Linked DNA regions of Elephas maximus indicus. The protein of the gene in region 3 interacts with the protein of the main gene of each other region in a pairwise test. Links are inferred from orthologs where the notes say so. Each region holds a gene or a part of one and is shown on either strand. Other genes may lie near its edges. The genes, in order: APOL6, SHFL and ADAMTSL4.

Region 1 (3,745 bases), on a different chromosome or scaffold from region 3:
CCCCTTAAGCCTCCCAGTGAAATATGCAGGGAAATGCCTAACTCAGTAAATGGTCAGGGGTTTCTGGGGTTGAGGGTGCAAATGCCTAATGTGCTCGCTCCTAACTGAAAGGCTGAAGGTTCGAGTCCACTCAGAGTACCTTGGCAGAAAGACCCAGTAATCTAAGCTACTGAAAGCCCTATGGAGCACAGTTCTACTCTGACACATGTGGGGCCGCCATGAGTCGAAGTGACCTGATGGCAACTGGCATGGATTCTTATTTGTGCCAGACATGGGCAAATACTCCATACACCTTTAATTCTCTCAGTGACCCTGTGAGATGAAATAGATGGTAGCATTATCCCCATTTTACAGATGAGGAAACTGAGGCACAGGGAGGCCAATGTTGGGAAAGTGTGATCGCAGCTAGTATGAGTCTAGAACAGTGGTTCTTAGCCACAGGCTATTTTGCTCCTTCTTCAAGGGGACATTTGTCACTGTCTGGAGATATTTTTGAGTGTCACAACTTAGGGAGGGGGATGCTACTGGCATCTAGTGGATAGAGGCCAGGCTAAACAGCCTACAATACACAGGACGATCCCCATGCAAAGAATTACCCAGTCCAAACGTCAATAGTGCCAAGGTTGAGCAACCTTGGTCTAGAGCCCCATTCTTTACCAGCACCCTCTGATTCCTCCCCCATTTTTCATGTGAACCCTATGGGATGAAGGGCAACAGGGACAGCAGGCAGCTCTTTGGTCTGATCAGGTCCCTATTAAGCTTGCTTTGTGGATGTGGGGGACAGTTATGTTGGAAGAGGGATGGAATGGGTGGGAGAGGACTTGAGAAGTTATTTCAATATTAGCACTTATAAAAGAGTGTTGGCAGTCTTTCTCTAACTGCCTGGAGAGGCTTTAGCTCCTCCGTGCTCTTCGATGGCTCCTTCCCCTGAAAGCCAACTCCCTCAAACATATAATCCAACTCAGATCTAAATGACTCTGAAAAACACAGCTTTGAGATAATCCCCTAGTCTTTATCACCAACTCCCCCACTCCCTTCCTCAAACTACTCCAAATAAATTTATAATCCAGGAAACATGAAAATGGTGCAGGACCGCGGGCGATGTTTTGTTCTGTTAAGCATAAGGTTGCCTGGAGTCAGAGTCTACTCCATGGTAACTCACAAGAACTAGAAAGCATTGTGGGCTTAATTTGCAATCCTGAGACAAGTCACCAACATCGCTTTCCTACAAAGCTATCACTCCTAAACCATTCCTGTACAGAAGTTCTAGAAAAATCCCCATGGCCGATGGAGTCTTTTATATTTTAAGAGCCAAGCCATTCCCATCTAGGACTCTCGGATGGCCATTGCAGCTAAAGATGCAATTTGGTTAGTCATGTTGTTGTTGTTAGGTGGCGCTGAGTTGATTTTGACTCTCAGAGACCCCATGTGACAGAGTAGAACTGCCCTATAGAATTTTCTAGGCCATAATCTTTATTGCAACAATCGCCAGAACTTTTTCCTGTGGAGCCACGGGGTGGCTTTGAACTGCCAGTCAAGCACTTAACCATTGCACTACCAGGGCTAGTCATAAAAAAAAAAAGATTACCACACTTTTAATCATGTTTTCATTTAAACTTCAAACAGCCTCGTGAAGGAGAATTTCTGATCCTGATTTATCATATAAAGAAGTTGAACCTCAGGCCCTTCCCAAGCTCACAAAGTTAGTGACTGACTGGCTGGAGAGGGGCTGAGCCCTGGTTGGAGGTGCCTCGGAAGAAAGGCCTGGCAATCTACTTCCAAAAAATCACCCATCCAAAGCCCTGTGGAGCACAGTCCTACTCTGGCACACATGGGATCGCCATGAGTCAGAGTCAACAGCAGTTGGTTGGTTTTTTTGTCCTGACAACAACCCTTTTTCCTGAACCAAAGTACTGGTAGCTGTCCCCTTTGGCTGCTTGTCCTTCAGGGAGCCCCAGAAGCAGCCCCTCCCTGCTCTGCCTGCTGTCCTACCTTCTCTCAGGAAGCAGTCTCTGGTAGCCTCAGGTTCTCACATCTCTGAGGGTCTCTGAGCTGGTGTCTGGACAGCAGATGGACAGGCACAAAGGGCAGCATCTCAGGTAGGGCTCGCTGACTAGAGGGAGGGACCCAGGCTCTGCTGGTGGCTCTGGGAAGAAACTGCAAAACTGCGCTGAAGTTAATAGCCTTGGGTGTAGAAAACCCACAAGACATCATTTCCTGGTAGAGGTGGGGTTATTGAGAAGGCTCAGTCTTTCACTTTTCTTTTTGCTTCTTTGTCTAATAGTTGCACAGCGCACTATTGTGGGTGTGCTGAACCAAAGTCAGAAGGCTTGAATTCACCTCTCCTCGGCACCTCTTCCTAGCTGTGTACTGGGCAGTGTAATGAGTGGTTCTAAGACAGGGAGACAGAGGGGCCCCCCAGTGTGCAATTGACATAAACAAATTAAAGTAACAAAGTAACAGGAAATGGGCCAGGGTGAGGAGGAAACAAAGCCATTTCCCAGAACCATGGGGCAGGGTATCAGAAAACAGCCCACAAACTTCTTTAAAGTTGTTTTTCAGAAGCAGCGGGATGAAAGCAGCCCCAGGGACAAAAGCAGAACATCCACCTGTGACCACTGTGTGACCTTCCACCAGGGGCAGTGAGGAGCTATAGCTGCAGCCAGTGAATCAAACTCGGGGAGCAAGAGACCGCACAGACGCAACGCCCCGTAATAAGTCCTGATACGAATCCCAGAGGCCTCCGGGACAGAAGCTATCTTAGAGAGCTGCTGTGCGCGCTCACACCGTAGTTAACGTATCTCTGCCCAGACAGGCCACCTCTTGGAAAACCCCGCCTATACCTATGAATAAACATAAATCTTTTCCCACCCAAAAACCTTTAAGAACCCATGCAAATCCTTTGTTCTGTGAGACGGGAGTAAGGGTTGCCTAGGCCCTCCTCGTCTCTGCTTGCAAGCCTCTTTTAATAATGAAGCTTTGCTCATGTGGAAAAGTCTCCTTGCCTTTCCTATTCATTCTTGACCAGTGAGAGGCAAGGAACTCATTCAATTGCAGCAACAGTTCTGGTCACACAAGGTTTCTGAAGGCAAGCAGACCACTTGGAGTTGTATCACCTTGAGCAGGTTATTCAACTACAGTTGACCTTGATTTGCCACCTGTAAAATGGGGATGAACATAGCTCCAGTGAGTAAGTGACACAATGCCCAGTGTGGAACCAGCACACAACAACAGTAGCTGCGCTGATGTTTCAAAATCACTTTCCTACACGAATCTTACCTGAGCCTTAGAACAACTCTACGAGGTAAACGGCACTTGTATAAAATGGCATGATGGCAGCATCTGACGCCTTCTAACTTCAGGAGGGGGTGGAGAAAGAAGCAAGATCAACGTCAACAGCCCAAAGCTGATCCCTACGAGGCGGAGGTCAGACATGCCTCCTCTCTCCAACCTTTTTACCAATTCTGACACCATTTGTCCCCCCTATGGCACTCTCTACGTCTCTGCCGGCTTTGATAATTCATTGCGATGGCCACACAGACAAAACTCATGATTATGGGGTTTATTAGGGAAGTTAACAGGTTACAATTCAGGATCAGAAATAACTCAGGATACATTTCTTCTGTCAGGACAGCTCCTTCTCAGCTGTGCCCACAGGCAGGCCTCTCTTTGGCCTCTTGGCCATTGGCCCCTCAGCTCCTCAGCCATCTTGGGCCTCTTGGGCCATCTCAGTCTCTGCCCTACT
Region 2 (3,745 bases), about 160 Mb from region 3:
TTGGGGCTCAGGCCTCTTTTCCACCCTCATTTGTTGGCGGAGGAGCTCCTGCTCTGGAGTCCAGAAAGGGACGCAGGGCTCTGGCCCCCCATGAGAGTAGGGCGCCCCTTAACTCATGATGAGCTGATTGAGCAGCACCCACTTGAGAGCCAGGTGTATGACCTTGCACCTGTCATCTCAGCTATGCTCACAGCAGCCCTGAGAAGTGTGTTATCCCCATTGCTCAGATAGGGAAACTGAGGCTCAGAGCTATGAGGGGGCTTGCTGGCGATGACCCTGAGTGAGTGTGGAGCAGCAGGCCTGAATCCTGTGTTCCCTGCCTGCCAGCAGACAGACTGTGAGCACCCCATCCCCAGCACACGTTTGCTGGCATGGTGACAGGTCTGCCTCTGGGGCTGTGCTCCTTTAGCTAAGTGCTTGGGCTCTGGATTCAGACAGACCCAGGTTCAAATCCCAGCTCCACCACTTCCAGCTTTGGAACCCTGGGCCATAATGAGGGGCATCTCAGAGCTCTTAGGTGGTTAGGGTTCAAATCCCAGCTGTTTGCTGTGTGAACGTGGCAAGTGACTTCATCACTCTGTACCTCAGTGTCTTTGTCTGTAAAATGGGGAGGACACCTAATAGGCTCTATCTTGTGGGGTTGTGGGGTTGTTGTGAGATTGTAATCTGTCAACACTTATAAATCCTTCAGCCCCACATATGGGAAGTGCTCCGTCAGTGCCCCCCTTTGCTATTATTTTTATCACTCGTCAACAACTCTACGCCAGGCCTTTCAGCAGGCAAAATCCCCAGTCCACCAGCCACCAAAACCATCTTTCTAAAAGGCAAAGCAGCCAGGTCACACCTGTGCTTCAAAGCCTTTCATTCATTCACTCATTCAACACAGGGGCTCCCTGCTGCACTTCCCCTCCCCCGCCCCCAGTCTGCTCATTCGCAGCCTTTTCAGGTGCCCCTTTCTCACCTTCCAGCCTTTGCTCAGGGCATTCCCTCTTGCGTCCCCTCCGCTTCCCAGGGCTCACTCCTCTCTGTCCTTTAAGACTTGGCATTACCTCCTCCAAGAAGCCTTCCCTGATCTCTAGGGATTTCCCTTATTGACATTAATGCTGGCTCGAGCCACTGCCTACTTTTGTATCTCTCTCTCTCTGATTTAATACAACCAGCATGTATCGAGCACCTCCTGTTTGCCACCTCCCTGGCTGGACGCACAATAGAGAGGTGAATACATGAATGAAGTTGGACCAAGAGTGTGGACCGGCAGTGCCCAGTCCCTCCTGCTCCCTAGGGAGCTCTCCGTGGGTGGGTGGGGGGATCCTCTCTGTTCTCCCTCTTTACCCTGTTCTTGAGGGAAGGGGGCAGGTTACCTGGGCAGGCAGGCCATTACTCAGTTCCTGTCCATCTTTCTGCTTTACCTCTGGTGGAGAGAGAACTCGTAAGTGAAGGGCCCCTGAGGCGCTGTGGGAGTTTCAGGCCCCCAGAGCCCACTGTAGACCTTTCCCGAGGCTGGGGATCCACAGGAGGTGGTCTCAGCGTTTCTTTCCACCCTCGGCGCTCCCACACGCAGCCCTCCAGGCCCGGGACCCCCACCGGCTCACCGTACACGATGGAGCGCCCCACTCCAGTGTGGTCGCTGCCAAACTTCCTCATCAGAGCCCCTGCCTTGCGGGAGGACACCTTCCCATGAAACTTCTCCCGGAGGCGCCGGACGCTCTTCTCCAGCTTGGGCGCGGATAGAGGGGCTCCGATGGGGGAGGAGAGGCGCAAACGCCCCTCCCCCTCCCCCTGGCACCAAGCACCAGGCCTGAACTTGACCCTCGGGTTTGGCCTCTGCCCACCTCCCCCACGGCATTTCCTGGAAAAAGCCAAAGTCCCCACCGGACATTGGGGAATGGAGCGGGGAGGGACTAGGGCAAGCGTCCCAGGGTAAGGCGAGGCCGGCCAGGTAACCTCTGGCCTTCGAACCCTGACCCAGCAGCCCCCGCTTTTTCTCGGGGAGGCCGCATTTCGTTCTAGGGTATGTGGGGGATCACTCTCCTTTCCCACAGTGGCGCGCGCCGGCCAGGGGGAAGGTCTGGGCTTATGATGGGGATTCCCGGGAACTGCGAAGCCACCTCCGCACCCCCTGCCCCTTCCCGGCGTTTCTCGCGGGCCCCCGGCGCGGCCGTCGCCATCTCCTACCTCCACACCTTCCTGAGACATGGTGGCGGCGGCGCAGGTCCCCGCGAGGGTCCGCACGCAGCGCCGGCCACCCAGCTACCTGGGCGCGCCCGTCGATCCGGCGGCCGCGCAGGGCAGGGGGCGGTGCCTCGGGCCAGCCCGCCCTTCCTTCCTGGCCCCCTCTTTCGCTTTCGTTTCGGGGGGGCGGGGCGCCTTGGCTCCGCCCCTGTTCCTGCGCCCCAAACCCAGGCGGGCGCCCCTGGTCCGCGCCCTGCAGTGGAGCGCGCAGACCTCGCGTGGGGGGGGGGGGGGCGGCGCGGCCTCTGCAGTCGGTCACATGTCCCCACGCTGCGCGGGGTCCGCGTCTTCACGTCCCATGTGGGGGCGGGGCTGCATCGGAAAGCCGCTGCAAGTCTCCGCACCTCCACAGCTCGAGGGGACCCATCGGTCGTCACCTTCTTTCCTTTCCTTCCCTCTCTCTCCGGAGGAATCAGGCGCTAATTAGGACCTGGGCCTCTTGGCGCTGAGTTGCTGGACAGGCTATGACCCCTTCCTTGGACCTCAGTTTACACTTCTGTAAAATGGGGATGATGGTAGTGGCTACATTCTGGTGGGGGGTCAGGAGACCTCGGGTAGAGCACTGAGCAGCACCTGGCTTGCTGTGGGCACGCTAATAGTCTTTGAGTCGCGTACTCTGTGCCAGGTACGAAGGGGCGGGTGGGCTACGGGAGGGATACTTGTTAAAAATACAGACCCCTGACCCGTAGCAGCTCTTTGGAATCAGACTATCTGGGGCTCCGGGGCACCTGCATTGTAAATCTGAAGGTCGAGAGCCCTATGGGTCAAGACAATTCTAACCCAGCGCACAGGGGACTGGAGGAGTCCTTAAGAGGGGCTCTGGGCCAGCAGGGGGCGTCAGGGATGGTTTGTCGGAGGAGTTAAGGGTTAGCACAGAGTGCCTGAAGCTTGAGGCCTTAGCCGGTGCCTGAAGTTTGAGGCTGCTCTGTGAATTGCAGGCTGTTTAGCAGCATCCCCGGTCTCTACCCACTTGATGCCAGTAGCATCCTGCCCCAATTGTGACAATCAAAAATGTGTTCAAGCATTGCTAAATGTCCCCTGGAGTGCAAAATTACGTTAGGGTAAACGGCTCCAATTTTTTTTCCCCCCATTTGTACACCCTATCAGGAAAAAGAAAAAGTCCCCGGGTGGTGCAGACTGTTGGGGCTAGTCTCCTAGCCTAAGGGTTAGTAGTTTGAACCTACCCAGCAGCACTGAGGAAGAAAGGGTTGGCAATACGCTTCCATAAAGATTACAGCCAAGACAAATCTATAGAGCAGTTCTACTCTGTAGCACATGGGGTCACCATTAGTTGGAATCCACTCGACGGCATCAAGTGTTGTTTTTTTAAATCAATAAAAATGTCGATTCTCTGTCTCCCATATGGATACTTAATTTATAAATATGTACTAATGTTGTCGTTAGGTGCCATTGAGTCAGTTGCGACTCATAGCGACCCTGTATACAACAGAACAAAACACTGCTCGGTCCTGCACCATTCTCACAGTCGTTGTTATGCTTAAGCCCATTGTTC
Region 3 (3,689 bases):
CCTGCACACCAAAGGCAGGAGAGGGTAGGTCAGATAGGAGCCGAGGTGTTACACCACCACGCCTACCCACAGCAGCTCCCCACATCCTGACCACCAGCCTCTCAGAAAGCACAAGTTACTCATCACTTCCCCTGCCTCTCCCTGTGCTCTCCCCTCCCTCATGTCCAGGGACAGAGCTCCCCCCACCCTGGCAGCCCCACCTCTTACCTGCCGGCCCACTTCTCCATCACTTCTCCCTGATTGCCCAGGGCTAGGGAGAAGGGGACTGGAGGTAAATGCACTACTCAGGCATCTGGGCGTGGAGGGGAGGGAAGCCTCGTGGTTACTTCAGTCTTCAGAGAGCTGGGGCGTCGGGATGGATGAGCCCTCAGAAGGCTGTCTCAGAGTGAAGATGGAGGGGTGGGAGAGACTGGCCCACCTTTTTATGATTCTAAGGGTGGGAGCAGGGAGTCATACTGCCTTTGTCCATCTGCTGAAGCTAGAGGGTGGGGGTCTGACCTCAGCCTCCCAAGTATTGGCTCAGTCCCCTCCCCCTGGCCCTGTAGGAACCTCTGACTCCTCCCTAGACCCAACTTGGGTGTTTCTAGGCCAGCACAGAGTTTTCTTAATATGGTTTTCATCTGGGTCTCCCTCCTGCCCCCTAGGGGTACCTGGAAAGTTGAGGAAGGAGGCTCTGGTGAGGATATGCCAGACGTCCCCTCCGAGGATCTGACAAGGAGCCCCTTGGGTTTTCCAGAAACAAGAGCCTCCCCAGCCATCTCTGTTTCCTACCTCCCAGCTTTTTCTTTCCTTCTTAGCTAAGCTCCTTATGGAACAGTCAGGCACATCTCTGCCTGCCTCAAAAACTTTCGAGCCAAGGGATAAACTAAGTGGGTTGATGGTTTAATCTCAAGAGAAACAGATGATTTTCCCACTGCGATTTACGCTCCACTCTGGCCAGAGGTCCCTGAATGGCACAAATGGTCTGTGCCTGACTACAAACCTCAGAGTTGACAGTCTGAACCCACCCAGCAGCACTGTGGAAGAAAGTCCTGGTCATCTGCTTCCATAAAGATGACAGCCAAGAAAACCCTATGGAACAGTTCTGCTCTAACATATGAGGTTGCCATGAGTTGAAATTGACTCAATGGCAATGAGTTAATGGACTGGGTGCCAGGATCCTGGACTGGTTCAATGAGGGCTTGTTTCATGTGCAACTGTGACAGGCTAGGAGAACCTGAGGAGAGAGGCTGCCAGGGCTGCCCTTGCTCCCCAATCACAGGCCTATCATTCTCAAGATTCAGGAAGTTCTCCCTGAAGTCTAGCTTTGAGGGTTGGGGAAGTGGGGGTTGGAACCCTCCCCACCTTAAAGCCTGACTCTGCCCACCCCTCCTTGCCCTCCAGCCCCCTCCTTCTTCCTTTGAGCCCTTCCCATCCCCAGCCCACCATTTTGCTTCTAGTTCTGCTTTCCAGGAAAAAAAAAGTGTGTTTCTGTTGGAGCTGAAAGGCACCCAAAGAGGAGTCCAAGGAGCCAGTGCTGAGGTGGGCCAGCTCCAGGGCAGGAAAATGACAGAGAGGAGGGCAGGAATGTGCCTGGGGGTAGCAACACCCAGACCCACTCCCCTCTCTAAGACCCCAGGACTTGCGAATTTGAGGGAGAGACCAGAGTGGTCAAGCAGGGTCACCTCTGCTGCTCAGGGTTGGGATGGGGGAGATAGGCCGATGGCAGCTCCTTCCCCTGGCTAGGCCAGCCACTGAGGTCAGAGACTACACCCTGATGGGCGGGACGCTGGGGGCTCCCGAGAAGGGCCTACGTTCCACCCAAATCTCCATATCTCTGCCTGACTCTTGAAAACCCTAACTTGAGGTCGAAGCGAAGGAGAGATGGAGGAAGACCCTCACTGCCCTTCTCTGCTGCCAGGTCCCCTCTGTACTCCCTCTGTCTGTGCTTCTGTTACCAGAGGTTTGTATCTCGCTGTCTCTCTCCATGGGTCTACCCAGGACACATAATCCCGTCCTGAGCTGGGTTTGGCTTTGGCATATCCCTAGAGAAGTGAAGGGTGGGGGGTGGAGTGACGTGAGCTCCTGGGGCCCAGGCCAGGCCTGGCTCCCTCTCTGGAAAAGTCCCACCTCCCCCACCCCCCTGCACAGCTGGGCAGGGGGCAGATATCCCCTTCTCTCTGGAAACAGGCACACACCCCTTTTCACATCCCTCATCTGGTGTCTCTCAATGCCCAGGGTGAGGAAAGGAGACGTCAGAAGTGGACACTCTGGTGCCAGGCTGGAAGCTGCTCTCGACAACCTGGGCTCCTCCTGGCCACACCTCCTCACACTGGCCAGTGAAGATCAAGGAGCAAGACCTGGGCAGGGCTAACTCCTCAACACCCAGAGGGACCCACCTCTGGGAAATAGGGAGCCGCTGAACAGTATGTTTCTGGGCTGGTGGTGGAGAGTCCCTGTCCTGTGTCAGAACTCTTCGGTCCTCATCATGTCCTCCACTCTTGGGTCCTGGAGGACTGTACCAACAGGTGTCCTTCCTTTGGTCGACCTCTTCTGCCCTCAGGCTAAGCTGGATCAAGGGCACCCACCTGCATGCCTCCCAGCGCCCCTATTCCCCTCAAAAAGTAAAAGGCGGAGTGGGGGGCACACATTCTCGGAGGAGGGGAGGCGGCGTCGGCGCATGCCGGGAGGTCCTGGGTATGTTTTCCAATTTTACTATGTGACTGAGTAGGAATTTTGGCTTATTCCCCGCCCGAGTGATGGGGCCAGAGTTCTACAGGATCAGACTGCGCACCCCCCCCCCCCCGCCCCAGGGAATTCGACCCCAGGGTCTGGAAGATCTTCCGAGGCTCTAAGTGCCGGGGTCGGGGTCGTGGCGGGGGCGCGACCAAGGAGCGCGAGGCGCGGGGGCGGTGCGCGCGTTCGGGGCGGCCGGTCTAACGGGACCGGGAAGAGGGGGCGGCCGTGGCCGGGGTCCCAGGGAGGGTCTGTACCTGCTCTCCGCGCCCCCAGGGGCCGGTTAACCCTTCTGCGCCCGGGCGCTCTCTCGAGACAGCCTTGCTCCGCGGCGGCCACTGTGGCCCCAGAACAGGGCTCGGGACACTGCCGCCTCCAGCTGCGGCTCCGCCCCTGCGCCCCGCCCCGCCGCCGCCCCGCCCCGCCGCCGCCACGCGCCCCTCGGCCGCCCGGGGTGGGGACGGCCGACCTCCGGCTGCCTGTCGACCGGCCGGGGCCACCCACCCGGGGCCGCTGGCCACGGCGACCCCTGAGTGTCGGGCACCCTCCGACGGTTCGAGGAGCGAAGCCAAGGCGGTCGCAGCCTGGGCTGGAGGCAGCCGTCTCTCCCGGGCACTGTCGCCGGCCCGCGCGCTGGGCTCGGCTGGGGCTCGCGGACTCGCGGACCCCCGGCCCAGGGCCGGCTCTGGGTGGGCGGTGCGAGCGCGGCACCTGCCCAGGCGGGGCAGCCTGGAGAGGCGCCAAGGGTCCAGCTGGGTGGCGTAGGCGAACCAGCCCCGGGCCCCAGATGGAGGCTGTGCACCGGGCCGAGATGGCCCCGTCCAACCCCAGGTCCGTGTCGGTCAAAGCTCCTTTCTCCACGCAGCCAACGGTGCCACCCAGTCACTTCTGCCTCTCCCAAGTTGGGTGGTGAATCATAGTGGTTCTGACGGCTCGGGGACCTCTAAGAGCCTCGGTTTCTTCATCCATAAAAT

Evidence for each region.
Region 1: the proteins of ADAMTSL4 (region 3) and APOL6 interact in binary tests that used the Homo sapiens proteins (3 or more experiments, as listed by UniProt). The two-hybrid records come from large-scale screens. The link is inferred for Elephas maximus indicus from reciprocal best matches to the Homo sapiens genes ADAMTSL4 and APOL6.
Region 2: the proteins of ADAMTSL4 (region 3) and SHFL interact in binary tests that used the Homo sapiens proteins (3 or more experiments, as listed by UniProt). The two-hybrid records come from large-scale screens. The link is inferred for Elephas maximus indicus from reciprocal best matches to the Homo sapiens genes ADAMTSL4 and SHFL.

Annotation. Positions count from the first base shown.
Region 1 is NC_064822.1:179,138,107-179,141,851, reverse strand, and holds the start of APOL6 (apolipoprotein L6), read right to left. Parts: upstream 2,222-3,745; 5' UTR 1,993-2,221; intron 1-1,992. UniProt on the Homo sapiens protein: May affect the movement of lipids in the cytoplasm or allow the binding of lipids to organelles.
Region 2 is NC_064821.1:28,234,768-28,238,512, reverse strand, and holds the start of SHFL (shiftless antiviral inhibitor of ribosomal frameshifting protein), read right to left. Parts: upstream 2,439-3,745; 5' UTR 2,197-2,438; coding exon 2,176-2,196; intron 1,717-2,175; coding exon 1,593-1,716; intron 1,412-1,592; coding exon 1,362-1,411; intron 1-1,361.
Region 3 is NC_064821.1:184,674,612-184,678,300, reverse strand, and holds the start of ADAMTSL4 (ADAMTS-like protein 4), read right to left. Parts: upstream 2,496-3,689; 5' UTR 400-2,495; coding exon of another isoform or gene 356-399; 5' UTR 228-355; coding exon 208-227; intron 2-207; coding exon 1-1. Other genes in the region: translation initiation factor IF-2-like, read left to right, coding at 356-399, 2,543-2,603, 2,711-3,546. UniProt on the Homo sapiens protein: Positive regulation of apoptosis. May facilitate FBN1 microfibril biogenesis.